Linked DNA regions of Arabidopsis thaliana. The protein of the gene in region 1 purifies or fractionates together with the protein of each later gene. This does not show direct contact. Each region holds a gene or a part of one and is shown in the gene's direction. Other genes may lie near its edges.

Region 1 (6,996 bases):
AAACATAAATGCATAGTTAATTCCCAAACCAAAATGTTTAAGCATAAGAATCCACTTGAACTATAAAGAAGAACTAATACCTGCAATAATAAAGACATTGGTAGTCCAACGATGTTGCTTCTGCCTATGACCACAGCATTTTTTCCTGCTATTTCAACACCCGTTCTTATCAACAACTCCACACAGCCCTTAGGAGTGCAAGATACAAACAGCGGTTCCCTCCCTCTCATTGCAAGATTCCCCACGTTTAATGGATGAAACCCATCAACATCTTTCTCCAATCTCACCATATTCAAGATTTTTGATTCATTAAGATGCTGTACAAGATATCTTCCATTAAATGATTGGACTCATGAGAAAAAAAAAAAAAAAGGAAAGGAAACCAACAAAATACAAGAACGTTCTCCTGAAAAAGAGCTCCACAAGTAAGATGCTCTATCGCATAACCTGTAAATTAAATGCTTTACCTACCAACGAAAAGGAAACCTTAAAGGGGAAAATGTTATGCATGAGTCCATGGTCGATGAAAATATATGAATCAAGAATTTCTACATACAAGTATGAAAACAAAGTAAACGTAACTACTTGACCTCCTAACATAGAACTAATCTTTGACATCAACAACACTAACATCCCCCATCACAACGTCCAAAGAAAAAAATGAGAAACATACTTGGGGTAAAGGAAGTTGCACAAGAATTCCGTGAATAGACGTGTCTTCATTGAATTTTCTCAATACACTGATAATCTGTCCTTCAGTACAATCCTCTGGTAATTCAGCCAAAACAGATTTAATGCCAGTTTCTTCACAAGCTTTAATTTTGTTGCGAACATAAGTTTGCGAGTCTCTTTGTTCACCAACCAAAACAACAGCAAGACCAGGGACTTTTCCAACAGCCTTTTTCATCTTCCCCACTTCACTAATAATCTTTGTTCTGATTTCCTCAGCGATAACATTACCATCTATCACCACAGTCTTCTGTTCAGTCTCTGTATAAATGCATACACACAGAAATCAACTCATACAATTAGAGAATTTTCTTGTAACATATATATATAGCCATGAAAATGCAACAAAGAGTATTACCAAAGGAAACAGGAGGTGGAGGATCAGAGTAAGGAATCCAATTTTCAGGCAAGTCAAGTGACACGAGAGGAGGAGACACTAAGATGGAACTAAAGCAATGTACATCCCTTGTTGCCAAACGAAACGCCTTAGTATGCGCCGAGGCCAAAGCTTTCCTCGCGATCATTAACATACTCAAAACTAAAAGAACAGTCACTGATTCAAATCAAGCACAAGAAAAAAGTCAATGTAAAAGTACAGACCAGACAAGAGAACCTTAGACAGGTCAGCCTAAGCTAGAATAAAACCATAATTTGATCCTTTTAGCTCCATACTCTTCATTACATCCACACAAACAAATAAAGAGGCGCATAATACAGTAAAAACAAACTTGCACCAGATTGAACCTAAATGGATTAAAGATTTCACCAGACTATCATAAGCTTTCACTCAGCTAAAATTCATCTTCTTCACTCAGCTAAATTCATCATACATAGAATTCTTAACAAAGAAGAAATCGGAAAATAGGAAAAAACAGAGGAGAGATTTACCAGTGGTATATAAAGCGTCGTCAATGGCGTTGAAAAATATCGCTAGGCATACCGGAGTTTAGGATTCAACGAGTGACAATATAAAACGATGATGATTAACAAAAAAAGTAAAAAGAATTCACCACCGTGTGAGAAAAGACACGTGTTATGATCTGGAGATAGATCTTGCAAGTGGGTTAAATAATAAACGGCGGAGACATAGCCACACGTGTGAAAAAAAAAGAGGTGTGTGTGTGTGTGTGTATGTGTGTATGTGTGTGTATCTCTCTCTCTCTTCCTCCAAGTAGCAAAAAGCAAAGGGGAAAGAGACGATGCGATCGGGCTAAGTGCAGAAACACTTATACTTGTGCATTCTGCAACACAACACACACACAGAGAATTCGACGAGAGTATGATTTGAGTGTATCGAGAACAGAGAGAGACATTGATAGAGAGATCGTTGGCAACGTTTTGGGGATCCAATGCGTTCGTAATTGGGAAAGACATTTCATTCAATTCTAAATCGGGAATATGAAAGGCGGAGGCGGTGGTGGAGGAGGTGGTGGCGGAGGAAAACGCCGGTGGAAAGTTCTGGTGATTGGAGTTTTGGTTCTTGTTATTCTTTCTATGCTTGTTCCTCTTGCTTTCTTACTCGGTCTTCACAATGGCTTTCACTCTCCTGGTATCTCTTATCATTCTCTCTCTAACACTCTCTTTGCTTTTTTTCTGCCGATCTCTGTTTCAGATCTAATCTCATCTTTTTCACTTTTTCAGGATTTGTCACTGTTCAACCGGCTTCTTCAGTAAGCAATTTCTCGTTTCTTTGTGTGTTTGTTTTGGTGTGTTTTGATTTTGTTCTGAATCTTCTTTCTTTTGGAATCAGTTTGAGAGCTTTACCAGAATCAATGCTACTAAGCATACACAGGTAATGTCACTCTCCTTTGATTGATTCGATTCTCATTTTTTATACCAAAATCTTTTTGCTGCTTTTGATATTCTTTCTTTGGTTTTGCAGAGAGATGTATCCGAACGGGTCGATGAGGTTCTTCAAAAAATCAATCCAGTTCTTCCCAAGGTTGGTTCCACTTGTTTCAGTGTGGATTAAAGGCCTTGACCTGTTCCATTTATGTTATAGATTAGTAGTTTTTGACAGAAATTTTAGATCTTTTCATGTACCCATAGAGTCAAAGCATTTATGGTGGTTGGAAGCACTTCATTATCTTACACACTGCTCTCTAATTGACACACACATTTCAGATCTGGTCTATATATGTTTAATTTTCAACTATTGAAGTATGTTTCTGTCATAATTATTGGCATTAATGTTTCACATCTTGTCTTTCAAGTGGTGTAAAATATATAGGCTTTGTAGTTTGATTACAGATAATAGGGCTATTTGTAAATGTATAGGCTTTGTATCAGGTTTGCCACAGTATTCTTGCAAGATGTCAATGCTAACATTAGAAAAAACTTAGATGCCTTTTCGTTTCATGGAAAGCTATGCAAGATGCCAATGCTAATATTAGCCAGTGAATCTGGAAACTTTACTGGCACTACAAACAAACTATAGGTCAAAAGGTTGTAGTTAATCAGTTGCCGTATATTTTGTGTGATGTTGCTTAAAGGGTAGAGAAATTAGATGAATGATCTCTTTATTTTTTTTATATTTGACTATCTCATGAGACTAGAAAGTTGAAATACTTTCATGAATTATGTTGCTTAATGTATCTCAAATTGTCTTGGGCAAGGTCAAGAATTAGTTCCTTGGGTGAGATGGTTAAACTGTTTGTAACAATTTCTATACTTATGTTTTGTTTTATTGTATCACATGCTAGAAAAGCGACATAAACGTGGGTTCCAGAGATGTGAATGCAACAAGCGGCACTGATTCTAAAAAAAGAGGTCTGCTTTACAAGCTTCACTTTCTTGAAATTCCTCTTCCATTATTTTATATTGATTCTGGTCTGATACTTTACGTCTGGTCTCTCCATTAATCTGCAGGATTACCAGTGTCCCCAACTGTTGTTGCCAATCCAAGCCCTGCAAATGTACAAATATATTAAGTGGTTTCCTTAGTAGACATCTTTATATCTCTCACCAATCATTTAACGTTAACCTTACTCTGCTTTCTTCTGTGAACAGAAAACAAAATCGGAAGCCTCATATACAGGTGTTCAGAGGAAAATAGTAAGTGGTGATGAAACTTGGAGAACTTGTGAAGTGAAATATGGGAGCTACTGCCTCTGGAGGGAGGAAAATAAGGAACCAATGAAAGATGCCAAGGTGAAGCAAATGAAGGACCAGCTGTTTGTGGCTAGAGCATACTATCCCAGTATTGCTAAAATGCCTTCTCAAAGCAAGTTGACTCGGGATATGAAACAGAATATCCAAGAGTTTGAGCGTATTCTTAGTGAAAGTTCTCAAGATGCTGACCTTCCACCACAGTAAGTTCTCTACCAGTTTGGGTTTAATCATTTTTGTACTGAAAGTTAGTTCCTTACTGGAAAAGATTTTGTTGGATTCTAGTCACATGAATCTCTCCTAGTTTGCCTTCAGTTTGTCTGGACATCCTGTTTTCTAGTGGTTTACTTGCTTTCAGATGGTTTATGGTATAGAAAATATTTATCATAACATTCTCTCTTCACCTATCCAGTGGGCAGCACATCCAGAAATATCACTATTTTGAAGCCTTATCGGTCTCAATATCTTAAACCAATGTATAATTTAGTAAACTAATGTACTAGATGATAGGAGGACGCCATGGATGTTGTTTGTTCTCTCTCAAGAGAAGCTTTGATGTGTAGAATCCTATGCTAATTTCTTTAAACGTACTTACTGGGTATCTCTTAACACTGTTGTGTCAGGGTTGATAAAAAGTTGCAGAAGATGGAAGCTGTAATTGCAAAGGCAAAGTCTTTTCCAGTCGACTGTAACAATGTTGACAAGAAATTGAGACAGATCCTTGATTTGACTGAGGATGAAGCTAGTTTCCACATGAAACAGAGTGTGTTCCTCTACCAGCTTGCAGTACAGACAATGCCTAAGAGTCTTCATTGCTTGTCAATGCGACTAACTGTGGAACATTTCAAGTCAGATTCACTTGAGGATCCCATTAGTGAGAAATTTTCAGATCCCTCATTACTTCACTTTGTTATCATCTCCGATAATATACTAGCATCGTCCGTTGTGATCAACTCAACGGTTGTACATGCAAGGGTGCGTCTTAAATCCAGTTTTCTTTACTTAGTATTTTTTTTCATGCAGTCATAGAACTCTGATTTCTAATTCTTGGTTGGTTATTGATGTTTCAGGACAGTAAAAACTTTGTTTTCCATGTACTGACAGACGAGCAGAATTACTTTGCAATGAAACAATGGTTTATTAGGAATCCTTGCAAACAATCAACTGTTCAAGTATTGAACATTGAAAAACTCGAGCTGGACGATTCTGATATGAAACTGTCTTTGTCTGCGGAGTTCCGTGTTTCCTTCCCCAGTGGTGACCTTTTGGCGTCTCAACAGAATAGAACACACTACTTATCCCTTTTCTCTCAATCTCACTATCTTCTTCCCAAATTATTTGACAAATTGGAGAAGGTTGTGATTCTGGATGATGACGTTGTAGTCCAGCGAGACTTATCTCCCCTTTGGGACCTTGATATGGAAGGGAAAGTGAATGGCGCTGTTAAGTCGTGCACTGTGAGATTGGGTCAGCTAAGGAGTCTCAAGAGAGGAAATTTTGATACCAATGCTTGTCTCTGGATGTCTGGTTTGAATGTCGTTGATCTTGCTAGATGGAGGGCATTGGGTGTTTCAGAAACCTATCAAAAATATTATAAAGAGGTCAGTTTCCTGAAAAACCTTTTGTAAGAGATAATTGGGTGATTCTGAGCAATGACTTCCTTTTTTCATGTGCAGCAGATGAGTAGTGGAGATGAGTCGAGCGAAGCAATTGCATTGCAGGCAAGCTTGCTCACATTTCAAGACCAAGTATATGCTCTTGACGACAAATGGGCTCTATCAGGGCTTGGTTATGACTACTACATCAATGCACAAGCCATAAAAAACGCAGCCATATTGCACTATAACGGGAACATGAAGCCGTGGCTTGAGCTGGGAATCCCAAATTACAAAAACTATTGGAGAAGGCATCTGAGTCGGGAAGATCGGTTCTTGAGTGACTGTAACGTGAATCCTTGATGAGTAAGTAGCTACACGGCCAATGCTTTTAGAAGCAAGGTCACACGCAAAGAAAAGATTTAGAGTGCAACATCTCAATTTTTTGGGTAAATAAACCCGAATGCATTGCAGGAGAAATGCTGAAGGGGAAGAAGCATGCAGAAGCCATACCAAATTGATTATAAGAGACGTGATGATGGTGATTTGAAAAGCTTTGATATGATTAAAAAAAAAAAAAAGAGGATGTGAAAGAACTTTGATATGTTGTATATGATTTTTGGCAAAGAGATGTGCCATTCTTTTCCTCGCGTTGTTTTTCCAATTTGTCATGTAGTTTCTTTGTTATTCTTTACTTTTGTGACGTACCAAAATAGAAGGCGATAAGATTTTTTTTAATCTATTTCTTATTAACTAGTTTGCACAGTACATTTATCCATGGTGTTGAAGCTTCTTCTCAGAAAGCAAAAACAATCAGGTCTTATGAAGGATTTCTCTCAGACAGTGTGTCTGTTGCAATAGCGGAGGAGGCCCTTTCCTCGGTAGGTTAAAGTTTCGCATCCTTGCTCATGCGAAACTAAATAGTAAATAGTAAAGAAACTTTGACCATACAATGTGTCTGTAGCAACATTACAGCAGGAAGCTACACTAAATAGTAAAGAAAGTTTCGCATCCTTGCACATGTTAAATGATTCAAGCAGAAACATTGTTATAAAAAAAACACAAGCTGCACAAAAACCAATCCACACTTCACAAATCCAAACGCACCAAATAACTTTGTCGACAACTATGGTCTCAATAGTTTAAAGCACAGAGGTAAATGGATCCATCGCAACCTTTACAGTCCTTGTACTTTAATTTTGAGCTGATAGTTTTTCCCCTAATTGAGGTAACGTACAAATCAAGAAAGACATTGATTACTATGTAAATAAAGTGCAGTGTAGGTATAATGTTATATCCGTATAGAGATAATACATATAAGTAAAGAGCATGCATGTGGTATAAAGAAAGAAGAAAGAGACCTCAAGCAAAATTGTAACGATGAAGTCCCATCTTAGCATAAAGCTTGACTAAGTGGTAAGGATTAGGAGGGAGATAAAGACAGTTAACCTTGACCATTTTATAACCACCGCATACACGTCCATATGACCATATACAAACATACTTTCATCGTCGTCGGATGATGACGATACAGACCAAAACAAATCCCAATCACAATCATGGT
Region 2 (5,618 bases), on another chromosome or scaffold:
TCGCCATCTTAAGCGATATCCTACACCGTAAAAGAGATGGGAAAGCTTGTTTACCTAGTAAGGTTTTAGTTGTATGGGCCATTAAAAACTCAGACGAGCTCTCTCTGCTCTCAGCAATTGACATACCTTCCATTTGCCCTTTCTTCTCTAAGAAACTAAACCTTGAGATTCACATATATATCACTCGACAATCCGAGCCTCGCTTGGTACGTCTTAAATAAGTCTTTTGGGAGCTGCAATAGGCCTTACTAAGCTTGTTGAACTCTTTAATGTTTCATGGTTATACAGGAAGATGGGATGGTTCACAAGGTGGTGCATCCTTCTGTCAAGCTACCACGGACCAACGGATGTTCTATGTCGGTACTAGTTGGTACAGGGGATAACATATGGTCTGGACTCTATCTAATTATATCCACCATTGGATTTATTTCAATGATCACATTGTTGGACATCTTTTACATAAAAAGATACAACATAACAACGTGGTGGTACAAGGGACTTCTATTTGTTGGTTGTATGGTTGCAAGTGTCTTGATTTTTGGAGGTCTTGTGGTTGTTTTCTGGCATCGCTGGGAACACAAAACCGGTGAAGTGGAAGCAAATGGCAACGACAAGGTAGATTTGAATGGAGAAGAAACCCATAATCCATCTGCAGCAGAGCTTAAGGGCTTGGCAATAGAAGAAGATGTCCAGAATTACACCACTATTCGTTATGGCACCAGACCGGCCTTTAGAGGTATACACTACAAAATTAGCGGTGTCAAGTCCAGTTATCTCGTTTTTTTATTTATAAAATTATAGAAACTGAAATCATTCGGAACGGTTTGACACGGTTTCGTTCGGTTCTTGAATCCGACTTTTGGTGTAGATATTTGGCTCGATTCGGTTAAGTTAAATCTTTGATTGGTTCATGTAATATTTTTATTTTGTAATTGCAGAGATATTTGAGTCATTGAATGGGAAATGGGGGAGTGTGGATGTTGGAGTGATAGTATGCGGTCCAGCGACTCTTCAGACGACCGTAGCCAAAGAAATACGGTCACATAGCATCTGGCGATCGGCGAATCATCCTCTTTTCCACTTCAACAGCCACAGTTTCGATCTCTAACGATGCTTTCAAGGCCAAAGAACATTATGGAAGGAAATTCGAAGACAAATTGATGCATATATTTTAGGTAATCTCTGTCAGTATGTACTATGGAAACAGCTATGGTTGATATGTGTATGTTTATCTTTCAGTTTTCGATGTATAAAGTAGAAATCAAATGTATGAGCATCTATGGTTTCTAGTTCTACACTTGTTGGTGTTTCTACATTGGACATTTAATATTAATTAAATGCAAGCTGATAAGTCCTATAATTACATAGCTGCCCATATATTTTCGGAATTTTTTAAAGTAGAGATATATTCATATATATATGAGGGATTAGATTCTATAATTACGAATGTATTTAATTTCAAATTAAAAGTTAGATTCTCATAATTCTCCTTACTTACTCTGTGAGGGATTAGAGTCGTAAAAATGACCACAAGATGTAATTTTTTTTTAGGTCATTGATCTACCATCAATTTGTCGGACACACTTATCTTATAAGTTTTAAATTTTAACAAATGTAAGTGAAATTTTGTGGTAGACTATCATTTTCAAGTAGAAGTAGAATTTAAGTAACCTTCCTTGTTATAATTTTTTTTTAAAAATTATGTCATTACTTAGAGCCCACCAGAAATGATGACGTGTAAAACACCATAATCATAAAGGATAAAATAAAATTATCATCCCACCGACAGTTTATTAGCGGAGATGTCTTTTTCCATCCACCCGACATTAGCCCATTGCTTTACTAGTAAACAAAGTATATGCAATTTTTTGTTAGAAAAAACGGTGCATAAAAAATAATATTTTAATGTCTCCGACAAATTTTAATTGTATGAAAAATAAATACACAAGATTACAAGTTGGCCAAAACGCTCAATCATAGTTGGCCAAAAATATACTATTCCAAAATTAGAGTTAGCTGTAACGTAACATGTACAAATAAACCAAACAAAACATATAATAACAAAATAATTGAAGTGAGTTTTAAAAAGGAAAAAAAAAAAAGAGTAAAAAACCAAAACCAGATCTCTCAAAGAGTCTTTGTACATTATTGACTAGAGAGAGCTTTTTAGCTTCACATTTCTTCACTTCCACACACTTTTACTTCTTTCTCTCTTCTCTTCTCTTCTCCAGATCTGATCCCAAACCTTTGATTCATTGTTGTTGTTCTCTGCTGCTTTATCAGAGAGCATCATCATGTACGGAAGAGATCCATGGGGAGGTCCATTGGAGATAAACACTGCAGATTCCGCCACCGACGATGATCGTAGTCGGAATTTAAACGATTTGGATCGTGCGGCTCTTTCACGTCCACTAGATGAGACGCAGCAGAGTTGGTTACTTGGTCCAACGGAGCAGAAGAAGAAGAAGTACGTCGATCTCGGTTGTATTATCGTTAGCCGCAAGATCTTCGTCTGGACTGTTGGTACTCTTGTTGCCGCCGCGTTACTCGCCGGATTCATTACCTTGATCGTTAAAACTGTGCCGCGTCATCATCCTAAGACTCCGCCGCCGGATAATTATACTATAGCTCTACACAAAGCTCTTAAGTTCTTCAATGCTCAGAAATGTAAGTGTAGAATCTACTTAGATCTGATAAAATTTAGATATAGAGTTTTAGATCTAAGTCTGATTTTGATTGTTGTAGCTGGGAAATTGCCAAAGCATAATAACGTGTCATGGAGAGGTAATTCTGGGCTTCAAGATGGGAAAGGTGAAACAGGAAGCTTCTATAAAGATTTGGTGGGAGGTTATTATGATGCTGGTGATGCTATCAAGTTCAATTTCCCCATGGCTTATGCTATGACTATGTTGAGCTGGAGTGTTATTGAATATAGTGCTAAATACGAAGCTGCTGGTGAGCTCACTCATGTTAAGGAGCTTATCAAATGGGGAACTGATTACTTTCTCAAGACTTTCAATAGTACTGCTGATTCCATTGATGATCTTGTGTCACAGGTACTTGTTTATGACCTTCGTAGGAGATCTTTCATATTGAGTTGTTTGTTCACTCGTTACATGTTTAATGTAGGTTGGATCAGGGAATACTGATGATGGAAATACAGATCCTAATGACCATTACTGTTGGATGCGACCTGAGGATATGGACTATAAAAGGCCCGTGACTACTTGTAATGGTGGATGTTCGGATCTCGCTGCAGAGATGGCAGCTGCTCTGGCTTCAGCATCTATTGTATTCAAGGATAACAAGGAATATTCTAAAAAGCTTGTCCATGGTGCTAAGGTGGTGTATCAGTTTGGAAGGACGAGGAGAGGGAGATATAGTGCAGGCACTGCGGAATCTAGCAAGTTCTATAATTCAAGTATGTATTGGGATGAGTTCATTTGGGGTGGTGCTTGGATGTATTATGCTACCGGAAATGTAACGTATCTCAATCTAATCACCCAACCTACTATGGCCAAGCATGCTGGTGCCTTCTGGGGTGGCCCTTACTATGGTGTATTTAGCTGGGACAACAAGCTTGCTGGTGCTCAGGTCAGTCCACACATAACAACCTGCTGTGTTTATGTTTCTTAGATATTCATGTCTTCTTGATCATTTGCCTTAACCATACTACTCTTGACTCTTTTGAATCCCTTTTGCGATTTTAGTTGCTGTTGAGCCGGTTGAGGTTGTTTCTGAGTCCTGGATATCCATATGAAGAAATTCTAAGGACCTTCCACAATCAGACCAGCATAGTCATGTGCTCATACTTGCCTATTTTCAACAAATTTAACAGAACCAATGGTTAGTTACCTTCCAGCTTTAATGTCTGCCTCTAATAAAACTCCAACTGTGGGGCTTGTTCTTGTTTCAGATATCTAAAATGAAATCTTTGGTATGTGCAGGAGGTTTAATAGAGTTGAATCATGGAGCTCCACAGCCGCTGCAATATTCTGTAAATGCAGCTTTCTTAGCGACTCTATACAGTGATTATCTGGATGCTGCTGATACTCCTGGATGGTACTGTGGACCTAATTTCTATTCGACAAGTGTGCTACGTGACTTTGCTAGATCCCAGGTATTGCTTCTTTTCCTTTACTCTTTACAGAAATGGTAATCTCAGATATAGTAATGGATAAGATCCAAAAATGACACTTTTAACCAAGATTGTACGAAGATCTTTTTAAACTCCATTTTTTATTTTGACATCTAAATTGGATTTAACTCGGCCTTGCTGTATTTTGGCAGATTGATTATATACTGGGTAAAAACCCTCGGAAAATGAGTTATGTCGTTGGTTTTGGCACAAAATACCCAAGACATGTGCATCACAGAGGAGCTTCGATACCCAAGAACAAAGTCAAGTATAACTGCAAAGGAGGATGGAAATGGAGAGACAGCAAGAAACCAAACCCAAACACGATTGAAGGAGCCATGGTTGCTGGTCCTGACAAGCGCGACGGGTACCGTGATGTCCGTATGAACTACAACTACACTGAACCGACTCTTGCAGGCAATGCTGGTCTAGTCGCAGCTCTTGTGGCATTATCGGGTGAAGAAGAAGCCACCGGTAAGATAGACAAAAACACTATTTTCTCAGCTGTTCCTCCTTTGTTCCCTACTCCACCACCTCCACCAGCACCATGGAAACCTTGAGAAAGCTAGACTTGTGTGATTCTGTCGCTGCTGCCAAAAAAAATGAATGAGGTAAGAAGGATTTGGGTGTGAGACCAGAAGATTAGAAGCTAAACACAAGTCAGCCATAACCAAACTACTAAGGATTTCATTTGGCTTTACTAGATACAAACACGGGGTGGGTTACTTTACCACAAGCATTGTCTTTCTTTTCTTTTTTTGGGTTGCTGTTTTGTTCTTGTGAGATATCATATATATCTATGCGTTTTACTCTGTATATGTTTGATACCAAACTTGTATTCTTTGATAAACAATTTAATGAACTGTATTAAACTTTTAACTATGTTTTATTGTGCAAGTGTGAGATCAACCTGGAATAACAACTGTAGTCTACTAAAATACGTGATTCTAGCATGCATTTACTCATTTAATGGATATAAACGATGATGCAGAAAGAATATTGCAGTAAAGAACGGAATTACATATGGCATTCTTTATACATGATGAAGTTGTATTCACAGAGATCATGGAGAAACCCAAATTAAACTGTTATCACAGTACACAGGCGAGATGTGTTCGAGAAGGCGTCATCGTCAATCAAACGAGCTTCGATATTACATGACATGACGCCCAAAAGGCCTTTGATGCAACCCTCAGGATCACGGGGTTTTGATAGATCCTGTCGGTGAAATGAACAAAATAAAAATGCTTGGTGAGAACGATAAACAATGGGACTATTAGATTTTGCAATGTAGAAGATGACTAGATGATATTATACCCTATAACAGTTGCGCTCCATGACGCTACGTTGTAAGCAACCTTACTTCCATCCCAGGCTTTCCGAAGTTTCCCCTTTCTATTCTTCACTGAGAACATCCTGCTAAGTGCTACATTACAATTCAAACACTAATGTTACAGTTTTACTACTAATCTGATATGCC
Region 3 (5,027 bases), on another chromosome or scaffold:
TACTTAACTCCTTCCAAATTAAGCTCAATACCATTCATCTTCTCCACCAAACTCTTCCTCCAATCCAAAAACTTCTTCTCCAATTCCTTCACATCTCTCTCTCCATCATTCTCCTTCTTCTTCTTCTTCCCATCGAGAAACCCTAAATCGCGTATAAACAACGATCCATGAGCAACTGGCTCCTCACGCTTCCGTTTCTTCAAGTCCTTGTGACGACGAACTACGATGTCTTCCTCCGGAACTGTGACGGAGGTTACGACAGAGTTTTTGAGGTAATCTATTAAGGATCGCTTGAGTTGCCATTCGTCGATGGATTTGGATACGGATGGGACTACTGGGTGGATTGTGAGATTGAGCTTGACGCGTGAGACGAGAGCGAGACCGTTCTCTTCGATATCTAGAGTTTCTATCGGAGATAGCTCTTCTAACGATCGCATTTTTCGCCGTCGATGCAAAATTCAAAATCGCGATTGGCTCTCTCTCTCAGAGTGTCGTCGGCTATTGAGTACAGAGAACAGGAGGATACTGAAAACAGTGGTAAACCAGAATTCCAAATCGGTTATTTCCGGTTCTCTTGGTTTCCAATATTTTGGGAATAAATTGCATAAACGGTCCAAAATAGAGATAAATTCCAATGTAAATTTTTTGAACATTGACTGAAACCATTAATAAATGTTGAACGTTTCATCCAATGCCTAAATATATATGGTAAGGATTCTTATCTTAGTTATGAGTTTTGGCATACTAGGACTGAAGCATTGCATCCTACTGTGAGTTTTGGTGGTTTGTGCTCTTCTGTTGACCTTAGCAATGCGTCCATATAAATTGAGTATGGTTGGATTACTGTTCATACCTCTAGCGAAACATTGCAATTCGCTAGGTCTCTATTGTGGGGTTAGATGGCATGAACCATTAGTTGCACAAATGAACTCTAATGCATATCATAGAGGCTTGTTTTTGGATATAGTTTACGAAATATTGAGATGATATCTTTCATACAAAAACAAAAAATGCATATGATGATGACACTCTTACATACACTTTTGGTACTATCTATCCGCGTATGATTTTAAGATAATTTTTTTGAGCTTTTACTTTAATTAGAATTTAGTGATATACTTGTATGCACAAATTTATACAAGCAATTTATGAATACGGTATACACAAATTTATATACAAACAGTTAGACCAATACCAAAATTTGGTGATATACTTGCAAACCTAGCATGCTAACGAATTTGATAACTTACATGCCTTATCCCATCTAGCGAAACAAATTAGAGAGATTAAACTGTTGGAGATAAATTTAGAACTCGGTTGATCACAACTCAACATTTCGCACTCAAACATTACAAAAATACTAGTCTCCTACATCAGGATTACAAAGTGGTCTTCCGCATTTGTTCATTTGGAAAAATATACAACCAAACAAGCGCATTCGATGATACAAATTCTTGTACCACATTGAAATTCACTTACAATATTTTAATTCGAACAAATTTAGCTGAGAATGTCTTTATTGATAGCAAAAAGTTGTGTTAATTTATATTTTACGCATCCACATTTGTGTGTTTTATGCTTTCACATTTGTAAAGAATTTCTTTGAACAGTTGTGAAAATTTTCAACATTTATGAAAGAAAAGAAAAAACCACTTAATAATTTTCAACATTTATGAAATTTGAAAAATGTGTTAATTACTACGTGTTTATGTAAAGTTATATGACCCGTCTTGCCCATTCTCTCCCCGACGAAGACACACACAGACAAACAAATCCTAGCTTAGCACCGTCGCGACCGAATTCGAAATTCCGGTAACCCAATCGCCGGGAAAATCCACCGCTCGTGGCTACCGATATTGATTCTAATCGGATCTAGCGGCTCCCTTTCTTCGTCCAGATCTCGTACTTCATTCGACCTCGATTCGCTGTGCAAGTTACGATGGAGGCGATCGATGAGTTGTCTCAGCTTTCGGATTCGATGAGACAAGCGGCGTCTCTGCTCGCTGACGAAGATCCCGATGAGACCTCTTCTTCTAGACGGCCAGCTACTTCTCTCAACGTCGTTGCCCTAGGGAATGTGGTGGGTTTTCTCTCGCTTTTTCTGTTTCTGAGATGTGACTGTATTTGGCGTTTGTTGTAAGTTTTATACTGTGATCGAGTGTAGATTTTTGTTGCCATATCGTGGATCTTGTGGATCTCGATGAGGTGTTTTCGAAATGGTCCCGTAACCTAGGAGTTTGGTAGGATGTTTTGTATTCTTCATCTCTTCGTTCGTAGCTTGTTTTGTTGCGTTTCTCTCTTTATTAGGGATTATTTGATTCTATGAGATTCAAACCTGGGAGGTATTACTATAGTAGAGAAGGTTGATGCGTTTGTTATTTGAAACTATGAGAAATCTATTTTAGAAAGTGTATATCAGAACGAAAAGTGTATGTGATTTACTCTGTTTCCTAAAACACTTATCTGTTGGAAGACAGAAAAAATATTGCTATGTGTTTGTGATTGAAACTTCTTAGGCTTAGAAAAGAAAAATTTCTTATGTGAAGACTGAAGTTATTTCACTTTTCTTGGTGGATCAGGGAGCTGGAAAGTCTGCAGTTCTAAATAGCCTAATTGGGCATCCAGTTCTGGTAAGTTGTGTATTGAATTTGAGTGCGCGGCAATTTGTGTATGTCACTATTGGCTGATACATTTTCTTAAAGTAACCACTTTGTGTTGTCCTGTCTACTATGATTACCATGGATAGCCGACGGGTGAGAATGGTGCGACACGGGCTCCTATTATCATTGATTTGAGTAGAGAAGAATCACTGAGCAGCAAGGCAATAATCTTGCAAATTGACAATAAAAATCAACAAGTTTCTGCAAGTAAGAGCTCCCTATGTGCACATATGCAATTTAGCAATGATTTGTGAAGCTATTTCTGCATGTAAGATGCAATGCATTAGATTAATATTTGACTAATATTTCCGTTTTTTTCGAATGTGTGTATTACAGGTGCACTAAGGCATTCACTACAAGATAGGCTTAGCAAAGGAGCTTCAGGAAGGGGTCGTGATGAAATATACCTAAAACTTCGTACCAGCACAGGTAATTCCTTTCTACTTGCACAATCATAAATGGGAATCCCTATTTAATGCAACATCCATATTACCCAAGCCTAAGTCGGATAATGTCCCCTACTTAAGTGAACAGTTCAGCTGTAATGAGTTTTTACCTCTAAATCTAACGCACATTAGCGCTTCAACTTCTTTTGGGTAGAATCTGAAGCTAAGTTGTGAAAATTGGACTATATATCTAAATGAAGATCTAACTTAAATGTTCTCTTTGGAACATGAATTATCACATATCGTTTGTTTTGTACTGGTTTCTGTAATCATCATAACATATTTTTCCCTTTTAATTGCAGCTCCACCACTGAAATTGATTGATTTGCCTGGACTGGACCAGCGAATTGTGGACGATTCTATGGTAAGCTTAGGAACTGCTTGATGCCTTTGTCATCCCCCTAATCCACCTGTCAACCATGGAGAATTTCCACATTTTTTATTCGGCATTCTGGCTGTAGGGCTTCATAGATTCATTATCATTGTCATCTTATAATTTGTTTCTCTCCTCTCTTTGCAAGATTGGTGAACATGCACAGCACAACGATGCTATATTGCTGGTTGTTGTGCCTGCTAGCCAGGCATCTGAAATTTCGTCATCTCGAGCCCTGAAGATCGCAAAGGAGTATGATCCAGAGAGTGAGTATATAGGCACTTTCGTTATACAGACCCTTCATTATACTTCTAAACAACTGGGGTTACTACATTTGGATAGAAACATTGGAACTAAATTTTGTGTATACTATAACCAAAAAAAAAAACATCACTCCTTATTTATAGGTACTAGGACAGTAGGAATTATCAGCAAAATTGATCAGGCAGCAGAGAACCCAAAGTCCCTTGCAGCAGTTCAGGCGCTTCTTTCAAATCAAGGACCTCCAAAAACAACTGATATTCCATGGGTTGCACTTATTGGCCAATCTGTCTCAATTGCATCAGCGCAGTCTGGAGGCAGTGAGAACTCTTTAGAAACTGCTTGGCGTGCTGAGAGTGAAAGCCTTAAATCCATTTTGACTGGTGCTCCACAAAGCAAACTTGGCAGAATTGCCCTGGTCGACACTCTTGCTAGCCAGATCCGTAGCAGAATGAAGCTCAGGCTTCCGAACATCTTAACTGGGTATTTCCTCTCTCCATATGTTTTTGCTTTTATATGTCAAATGAAAAATCGATTGTTTGTTTGCCTATTTTTCTGTACTGGTACTTTAGGGAAGATTTACAATTTTCTCCATCAAAGCCAATTTGTTTTGTTTCTTTGAAGTTGAAGTCGACCTTTAGGCTTAGTTAGCTAGACTTTCCAGCTCCTATCATCATTAGCGCACTTCTCATGAGATATTTTAGAAACCTTTGTCCTTGTGTCTTTCTAATCAACATATACGGACCAGGTCGAAGCTAAGTTTCTGAAAAGGAAAACAAGATTCATATCTTTAACTGATTGAATAGATGATAATCTACCTAAAAGTCAAGAAATTAAACCTCTATGTTGAATTTGCAATGGAGAGGAACGGTGTTTAGTGAATTGGAATAAACCAAAAGGCAAAGATAAAGCAAAAGGGAAAGTTGCATAAGAGGAAATAGTTATCTGAAATTGGATATGTGCCAGATTTATCTGCCATCGTTACTGAGTTCTGAAAATAAGAACTCTTGCTTGCAAGATCTCTGGTCAATGCTCATCATCATCTGTTAAGCTGATATATTACTTTTGTCTCCCAAAATGTGATGTCTATCTTTTGTTTTAGTTTCTGGATGATTATTTAGGGACATGATTTTGGTTCTTATGATAGTCCTGAACTTACAAATTCCTTTGTTACATGCAGACTCCAGGGTAAGTCTCAAATAGTGCAGGACGAATTAGCGAGGCTTGGTGAGCAATTGGTTAGCAGTGCTGAAGGCACAAGGGCAATAGCTTTGGAGCTTTGTCGTG
Region 4 (6,176 bases), on another chromosome or scaffold:
TATTATAAAAATAACATTTTTAAACAAAGTCAATCCAATGCAGCATTATATCCAAATAGTAAAAACATTAAAAAATATTATGACATCACTTTTATACTATACTATTTCTTATGTAATTCAAATAAAATATATAATTTAATTTATATAAAATATTAATGCCCGTGCTGTATAGCACGGGTTATGATCTAGTCTATATATTGTTCCACCTACATTGATTATTTAAGTATATTTATTTTATCGAAATTTGCTAATTTTCCATAAATCGATCTATTAATTTAACAATGTTATTTTGAAAAAATGGTCTTTGGTTATTATTGTATAGTTGGCACTGCTTTGGAAGTTAATCCATAATTATTAAGTACTATTAAATAGAAAATCTCTATTGAATTGTTCTATTTTTTTGGGTATCGTCATAAATTGATACCATTTAAAGAGATACTCTTAAAATAGAAATCTAAATTTACTTTGCAACTGATTAGTGATACTATGGGTCCATCCATGATGGTGATACTAAAGTATTTTGTTCAGATGATTACTATCCCAAGCGACGCTCCGGAGACGCGTAGCACGTGAATGGCTTCGACGGAATTTATTACAACGTTGTACAATATGGAATGTGGACTAGTGTTGTGTGTGTGAGTACTGTCTTATAAAAAGTGGAATTCAATTTCCAAAAAGATTGAAAGATATTTGCAGTTGCTATTATTATAGCCAACGCCACGGTTAACCTAATATGACAAAAATCAGAAAGACGCGTAAATTGATTATTTTATGTTTTCATATGTTTGAATAAGCTATCTTCCATGTAGAGAGAAAGAGAAATCTCTTTTTCACGAATTAAGAAAATGATACAAGTAAGATTCTTTACAAGAGATATAAGATCATGCATATCTGATTCTAGTAGTATCTATACACGATCTTAGAGGAATAGTATGAGAATATACTAGCATGAATTGGGATTTACTGCTTTAGATAGTATGAAGAGCTTGCATTTGGAGAATGTAACATTTATCTCTTTTTGTTGCTGTCTTTCACTAGACAAACCAAACAGGTCTATCTTTGAACATCAACACAGGAACGCATGAAGTTGCTAGAAGCGTTGTGGCTGATCTACGTACGTCTAACTTCCTATCATCCTATGTCACGCAAGGATATGAAGGGATCAATATTTGCCAAACAGAAATTTGATTACCATTTACCAATGTGAGCTTTCTTCTATTTTTTTCACTCGTTTGCTTTGGGCTTCGTATTGTTTCATCCAAATGTAATTAACCAAAAAATCTCGTATCTATTGTAATATAGGCCTCGGCAAATAAACCAAACTGAATCAAACCAAATCGAACCAAAATTGGAAATTAACCAAATGGATAATAAATTCTGTAACCGAAATAACTGAAACCGAATGGATACAAACAGAAATATAATATTTTGGGTAACCGATAATATCCGAAATATAAATATATTTTCAAAAGTATTAGTTATATCTAGAATAAATAATTAAAAATACTTGAGAATATATATAAAATAGTAAAAAACTCGAAAATAACAAAAATATCCGAAAATATCCAAAAATAATTGAAAGATCCGAAAATATTTAAAGCAAAATAACCGAATGGATACTACATTTTAAAACCGAAAGAACTGAAATCAAACCGAACCGAACCGAACTTTCAAACGAACGCCTATACTATAATGTAATCTGAATGTTCTATCTTGACCGTCAAAGGACGATCCACTGGTATATTATTTCTCATAAGCCAGCCCAAATTACATTTCAAGGCCCAAATCCATTAGCCTCAAAAAGTTAAAAAAACTATAATCAACGGAACATTCCATTTTTTTTTATAATATTCTTAAATCAATTTATGTATTCACCGTGCTTCGCCAGACACCAGAGACGCTTACTAAAGCACTGAGAAAAAACTAAATGAGATTTTGATCACACTCACACAACGGATTGCGAAATAGTAATATTTTATAATCGCCGACAAATTCTTCAGATCTCCAAAATTGAATCTTATTATAAACCCTAAGATTTGCATCTGATCTGCTCTCGAAGACGAAAGCTTCGAGTACTGGTTGAAGCTAAAGCTATGGGACACGTGAATCTACCTGCATCAAAGCGTGGTAACCCTCGTCAATGGCGTCTCCTCGACATCGTAACCGCTGCTTTCTTCGGTATCGTACTTCTCTTCTTCATCCTTTTATTCACTCCTCTTGGTGATTCCATGGCGGCTTCTGGTCGGCAAACGCTGCTTCTCTCTACGGCGTCAGATCCGAGGCAACGGCAGCGATTAGTGACTTTGGTTGAAGCTGGTCAGCATTTGCAACCGATCGAGTATTGTCCTGCGGAAGCTGTTGCTCATATGCCTTGTGAGGATCCGAGAAGGAATAGTCAGCTTAGTAGAGAGATGAATTTCTATAGGGAGAGACATTGTCCTTTGCCTGAGGAGACTCCGCTCTGTTTGATTCCTCCGCCTTCTGGTTATAAAATTCCTGTTCCGTGGCCTGAGAGTCTTCACAAGGTATATTGGATTCTAGCTCCTATTACCATGGTTTTGTAGATTATATAGTTCAGGATAGCTATTAGCTAGTTCGATTTATTGGTGATGTCTAGTTTTGCATGGTTAGAAACATGTCTCTTGGTGTTTGTTAGACTGTTAAAGATGGCTGTTTGAACTTTGTAGATTTGGCATGCAAACATGCCATATAACAAAATTGCTGACCGGAAAGGTCATCAAGGATGGATGAAAAGGGAAGGGGAATACTTTACTTTCCCAGGCGGTGGCACGATGTTTCCTGGCGGAGCTGGCCAATACATTGAAAAGCTTGCACAGTATATTCCGCTTAATGGTGGAACTTTGAGAACTGCTCTTGACATGGGATGCGGGGTGAGAATCATCATAAGTCTTTTTATTTCTCGTTTGGTTCTGTATTGTTATAATACTTAATTGTAAACCTTTGCAGGTAGCTAGTTTTGGAGGTACTCTACTATCTCAAGGCATTCTAGCCCTCTCATTTGCTCCAAGAGATTCACATAAATCTCAAATTCAGTTCGCTTTGGAAAGAGGAGTGCCTGCATTTGTTGCCATGCTTGGCACTCGTAGACTCCCCTTTCCTGCATACTCCTTTGACCTGATGCACTGTTCCCGATGTTTGATTCCTTTTACGGCTTACAGTGAGTCCCTTGGGTTATATACCTCTACTTATGTACGTGTGTTGCGGTTTTTAGCAGCAATTATTCTTATTGTGTTTGGTGATTTGTCTGCAGATGCAACTTACTTCATCGAAGTAGATAGGTTACTGCGCCCTGGAGGATATCTTGTAATCTCTGGCCCACCTGTACAATGGCCTAAACAAGACAAAGAATGGGCTGATCTTCAGGCGGTGGCTAGAGCTTTGTGCTATGAGCTAATTGCGGTTGATGGAAACACTGTCATCTGGAAGAAGCCTGTTGGAGATTCATGTCTACCTAGCCAGAATGAGTTTGGGCTTGAGTTGTGTGATGAGTCTGTTCCGCCAAGTGATGCATGGTGCGTTTTTCTTGTTGTATAATTATGTGCATGTGACTTTTGAACTGTATTGAAACCATGTAAAAGACAAAATTGAAGTTTTTGTTTTTGTTTTTTTTGCCTTTTTCAGGTATTTTAAATTGAAGAGGTGTGTTACCAGGCCATCATCCGTCAAAGGAGAACACGCTTTGGGAACTATATCCAAGTGGCCGGAGAGGCTTACTAAAGTTCCTTCTAGGGCCATTGTCATGAAAAACGGATTGGATGTGTTTGAAGCAGATGCAAGGCGGTGGGCAAGACGCGTTGCTTATTACAGGGATTCTCTTAACTTGAAGCTGAAATCTCCAACTGTCCGCAATGTCATGGACATGAACGCATTCTTCGGAGGCTTTGCAGCAACCCTTGCATCTGATCCTGTGTGGGTTATGAATGTCATTCCAGCTCGGAAGCCATTAACTCTTGACGTGATTTATGACAGAGGTCTCATCGGTGTTTACCATGATTGGTTAGTCACATTTGTTGTTTATATATTTGATCAAAATAAAGACTTAGATATGTTATCTCTCTTGTTCTGTATCTTAGCCATTGGCAGCAATGAGGATCGAAATATGTCACAATTCCTTAATAGTCAAAACCCTATTATTTGTTTGTTGCAGGTGTGAACCATTTTCAACATATCCCCGCACGTATGATTTCATCCATGTATCAGGAATTGAATCACTGATAAAACGACAAGACTCAAGCAAATCGAGGTATAACTAACGTAAAACCATTCTTGATTTCTAACACAGGTCTCTGTCTTATATACTTAACCTAAGCTGAATTGTCTGATATGCATACAGGTGTAGCCTAGTAGATCTAATGGTAGAGATGGACAGAATATTACGTCCAGAAGGAAAGGTTGTGATCCGAGACTCTCCTGAGGTGCTAGATAAAGTCGCACGAATGGCTCATGCTGTAAGATGGTCTTCTTCCATACACGAGAAAGAACCTGAATCCCATGGAAGAGAGAAGATTCTTATCGCAACCAAATCTCTCTGGAAATTGCCATCAAACTCCCACTGAAGACACAAAAGAAGAAGAAAAGAAGAAGCTCTTCTCAATCTTGTAGGTACTGTCACTTGCTCTCCAGCCCTCATCTGTCTGTCCCTAAGACACCAACCAGATGATATATACTTTTTTGTGTTCGTGACATTGCATCTGAATGTATTACAATCGTATAATGTCCTGATATTGTTAATTCTTGGTCACACGTGGTTGTGTCAGTGATTTATGTGAGGGGTCTACCTTTTAGAAGCAACTTGTGACCTACATGAGTAAAGTATGCATGTGACTCTGCGTATAGTTTTGTACTAGAGACCATGTATTAGTAGGTACACGTCCTGGATACGTATTTATGTATTGAAAAACTCCCAACTTACTGACAATTCCTATGATTCAATGTTTTAGTAAAAAAACAAGGTTGTGGTCTTATGGATTTTGGGTGAGAAACGGACACTATAGAAGACTTCTCTTTTTCAGTACTTGTTTTCAGGTGGGGGAAGACATATTTTGGTAAAAAACCTGAGAGAGAAAGAAGTCTCCAATTGGATTGGAAAAAACGTTGAGGACATTAATGCAACAAAGGTTTGGTCGTTCGTCCTCTTTTGAACCATATTTGTTGTCTCAATAAATGTTCTTATGCTTTATAACGTCCAAGACAATCTGATCGTTTTATTCATCTGTTTGAACATAACATCATCGACACACTAGAGGATTCAATTAGATGTGACTCTTGATGGAATTGTCTTTGTAGAAAAGTCTAGTCTTTGCTATGTTTCTAACGGTCTTTGGTTTGTTTCTCAATGTTCAATAATGTTATGTAATGGTAAATATTTAGCAGCGGTATAGTTCATTCTCTTGATATCGGTTTCAAATTTTTATTTGAGGTTGAAACCACATGAACATGGTCGATAGTCTGGTCTTTTTTGATGTTAACATTCATATAACAATTAGTTTAGATTGAGCTGTGGTAGAATTTTGAGCCAGTGCTGCTAATTGGAGTTTGTGGTAATCTAGTAATTACCAAATTTAACCAAACAATGAAAATGACGTTGTCCTTTATATCATCAATCAGGGGAATGGGAATGAATATTCCTCTTTACTTTTCAACCTTTTTTTATTCACCAAACTAATTTCTTCATGACTCTGTCATACCAATAAGAGAAGCCATACGACATTTTTTTTATTTTGTGGCAGACTCTTATGTGTAAATTATTTTGTGACCAACTCTTGCTGGTCGGTTATTCTGTGGAACCGACATTCCCATGTGCTCCAAACCGAACCAAACCAATATGTTCCACTACTTCCTTTCTTCTTCTTATGAAATTGTTTTCCATGATTTTGTTATTATTCAGTTCTTTTTAAGTGCGATGATCCATAAATTCGGTTCAATTAATTCTCACTTTATAAACACTCTAAATATCATCAACACTATATAACCTCAGTTTTTGTATGTCGTTTTAATTCTGTCATCAGCTTTGATATGTTTAACCAACATGATTTTGTATATAACAATAGTTTAGCGATTTGGTTGTTCTCCTTAAATAGAGATCCACCAAGTCATATGTGATGTGGACACCGTTTTGACCGGAAAAGTCGACGAATTATCATGTTTTTCAAACA

Evidence for each region.
Region 2: the proteins of GAUT7 (region 1) and GH9A1 purify together in Arabidopsis thaliana (affinity purification with mass spectrometry, with the first as the bait; one study listed by BioGRID). This does not show direct contact.
Region 3: the proteins of GAUT7 (region 1) and DL3 purify together in Arabidopsis thaliana (affinity purification with mass spectrometry, with the first as the bait; one study listed by BioGRID). This does not show direct contact.
Region 4: the proteins of GAUT7 (region 1) and QUA3 purify together in Arabidopsis thaliana (affinity purification with mass spectrometry, with the first as the bait; one study listed by BioGRID). This does not show direct contact.

What each region holds. Positions count from the first base shown.
Region 1 is NC_003071.7:16,160,655-16,167,650, reverse strand, and holds GAUT7 (galacturonosyltransferase 7), read left to right. Parts: upstream 1-1,774; 5' UTR 1,775-2,127; coding exon 2,128-2,278; intron 2,279-2,370; coding exon 2,371-2,399; intron 2,400-2,479; coding exon 2,480-2,521; intron 2,522-2,611; coding exon 2,612-2,671; intron 2,672-3,431; coding exon 3,432-3,498; intron 3,499-3,597; coding exon 3,598-3,644; intron 3,645-3,738; coding exon 3,739-4,040; intron 4,041-4,460; coding exon 4,461-4,812; intron 4,813-4,907; coding exon 4,908-5,438; coding exon of another isoform or gene 5,439-5,465; exon of another isoform or gene 5,466-5,516; coding exon 5,517-5,795; 3' UTR 5,796-6,196; downstream 6,197-6,996. Other genes in the region: AT2G38660 (Amino acid dehydrogenase family protein), read right to left, coding at 81-317, 674-990, 1,088-1,259; AT2G38646 (uncharacterized protein), read right to left, coding at 6,842-6,996. UniProt on the Arabidopsis thaliana protein: May be involved in pectin biosynthesis.
Region 2 is NC_003076.8:20,196,845-20,202,462, reverse strand, and holds GH9A1 (glycosyl hydrolase 9A1), read left to right. Parts: upstream 1-1,994; 5' UTR 1,995-2,294; coding exon 2,295-2,667; intron 2,668-2,745; coding exon 2,746-3,056; intron 3,057-3,129; coding exon 3,130-3,594; intron 3,595-3,710; coding exon 3,711-3,846; intron 3,847-3,947; coding exon 3,948-4,120; intron 4,121-4,290; coding exon 4,291-4,698; 3' UTR 4,699-5,072; downstream 5,073-5,618. Other genes in the region: FRO6 (ferric reduction oxidase 6), read left to right, coding at 1-206, 289-736, 939-1,108; AT5G49710 (RING finger protein), read right to left, coding at 5,275-5,356, 5,456-5,564. UniProt on the Arabidopsis thaliana protein: Required for cellulose microfibril formation. Involved in cell wall assembly during cell elongation and cell plate maturation in cytokinesis. Required for secondary cell wall formation in the developing xylem.
Region 3 is NC_003070.9:21,891,474-21,896,500, forward strand, and holds the start of DL3 (dynamin-like 3), read left to right. Parts: upstream 1-1,668; 5' UTR 1,669-1,939; coding exon 1,940-2,080; intron 2,081-2,579; coding exon 2,580-2,630; intron 2,631-2,746; coding exon 2,747-2,867; intron 2,868-2,996; coding exon 2,997-3,089; intron 3,090-3,408; coding exon 3,409-3,470; intron 3,471-3,627; coding exon 3,628-3,745; intron 3,746-3,886; coding exon 3,887-4,223; intron 4,224-4,920; coding exon 4,921-5,027. Other genes in the region: ZCW7, read right to left, coding at 1-437. UniProt on the Arabidopsis thaliana protein: Putative microtubule-associated force-producing protein, able to bind and hydrolyze GTP. Collaboratively with DRP1A, participates in clathrin-coated vesicle formation during endocytosis.
Region 4 is NC_003075.7:306,216-312,391, reverse strand, and holds QUA3 (S-adenosyl-L-methionine-dependent methyltransferases superfamily protein), read left to right. Parts: upstream 1-1,907; 5' UTR 1,908-2,093; coding exon 2,094-2,525; intron 2,526-2,687; coding exon 2,688-2,891; intron 2,892-2,967; coding exon 2,968-3,178; intron 3,179-3,271; coding exon 3,272-3,533; intron 3,534-3,642; coding exon 3,643-4,017; intron 4,018-4,168; coding exon 4,169-4,264; intron 4,265-4,354; coding exon 4,355-4,577; 3' UTR 4,578-5,523; downstream 5,524-6,176. UniProt on the Arabidopsis thaliana protein: S-adenosyl-L-methionine (SAM)-dependent methyltransferase (MTase) which mediates the methylesterification of the pectin homogalacturonan (HG) and thus regulates cell wall biosynthesis, at least in suspension-cultured cells.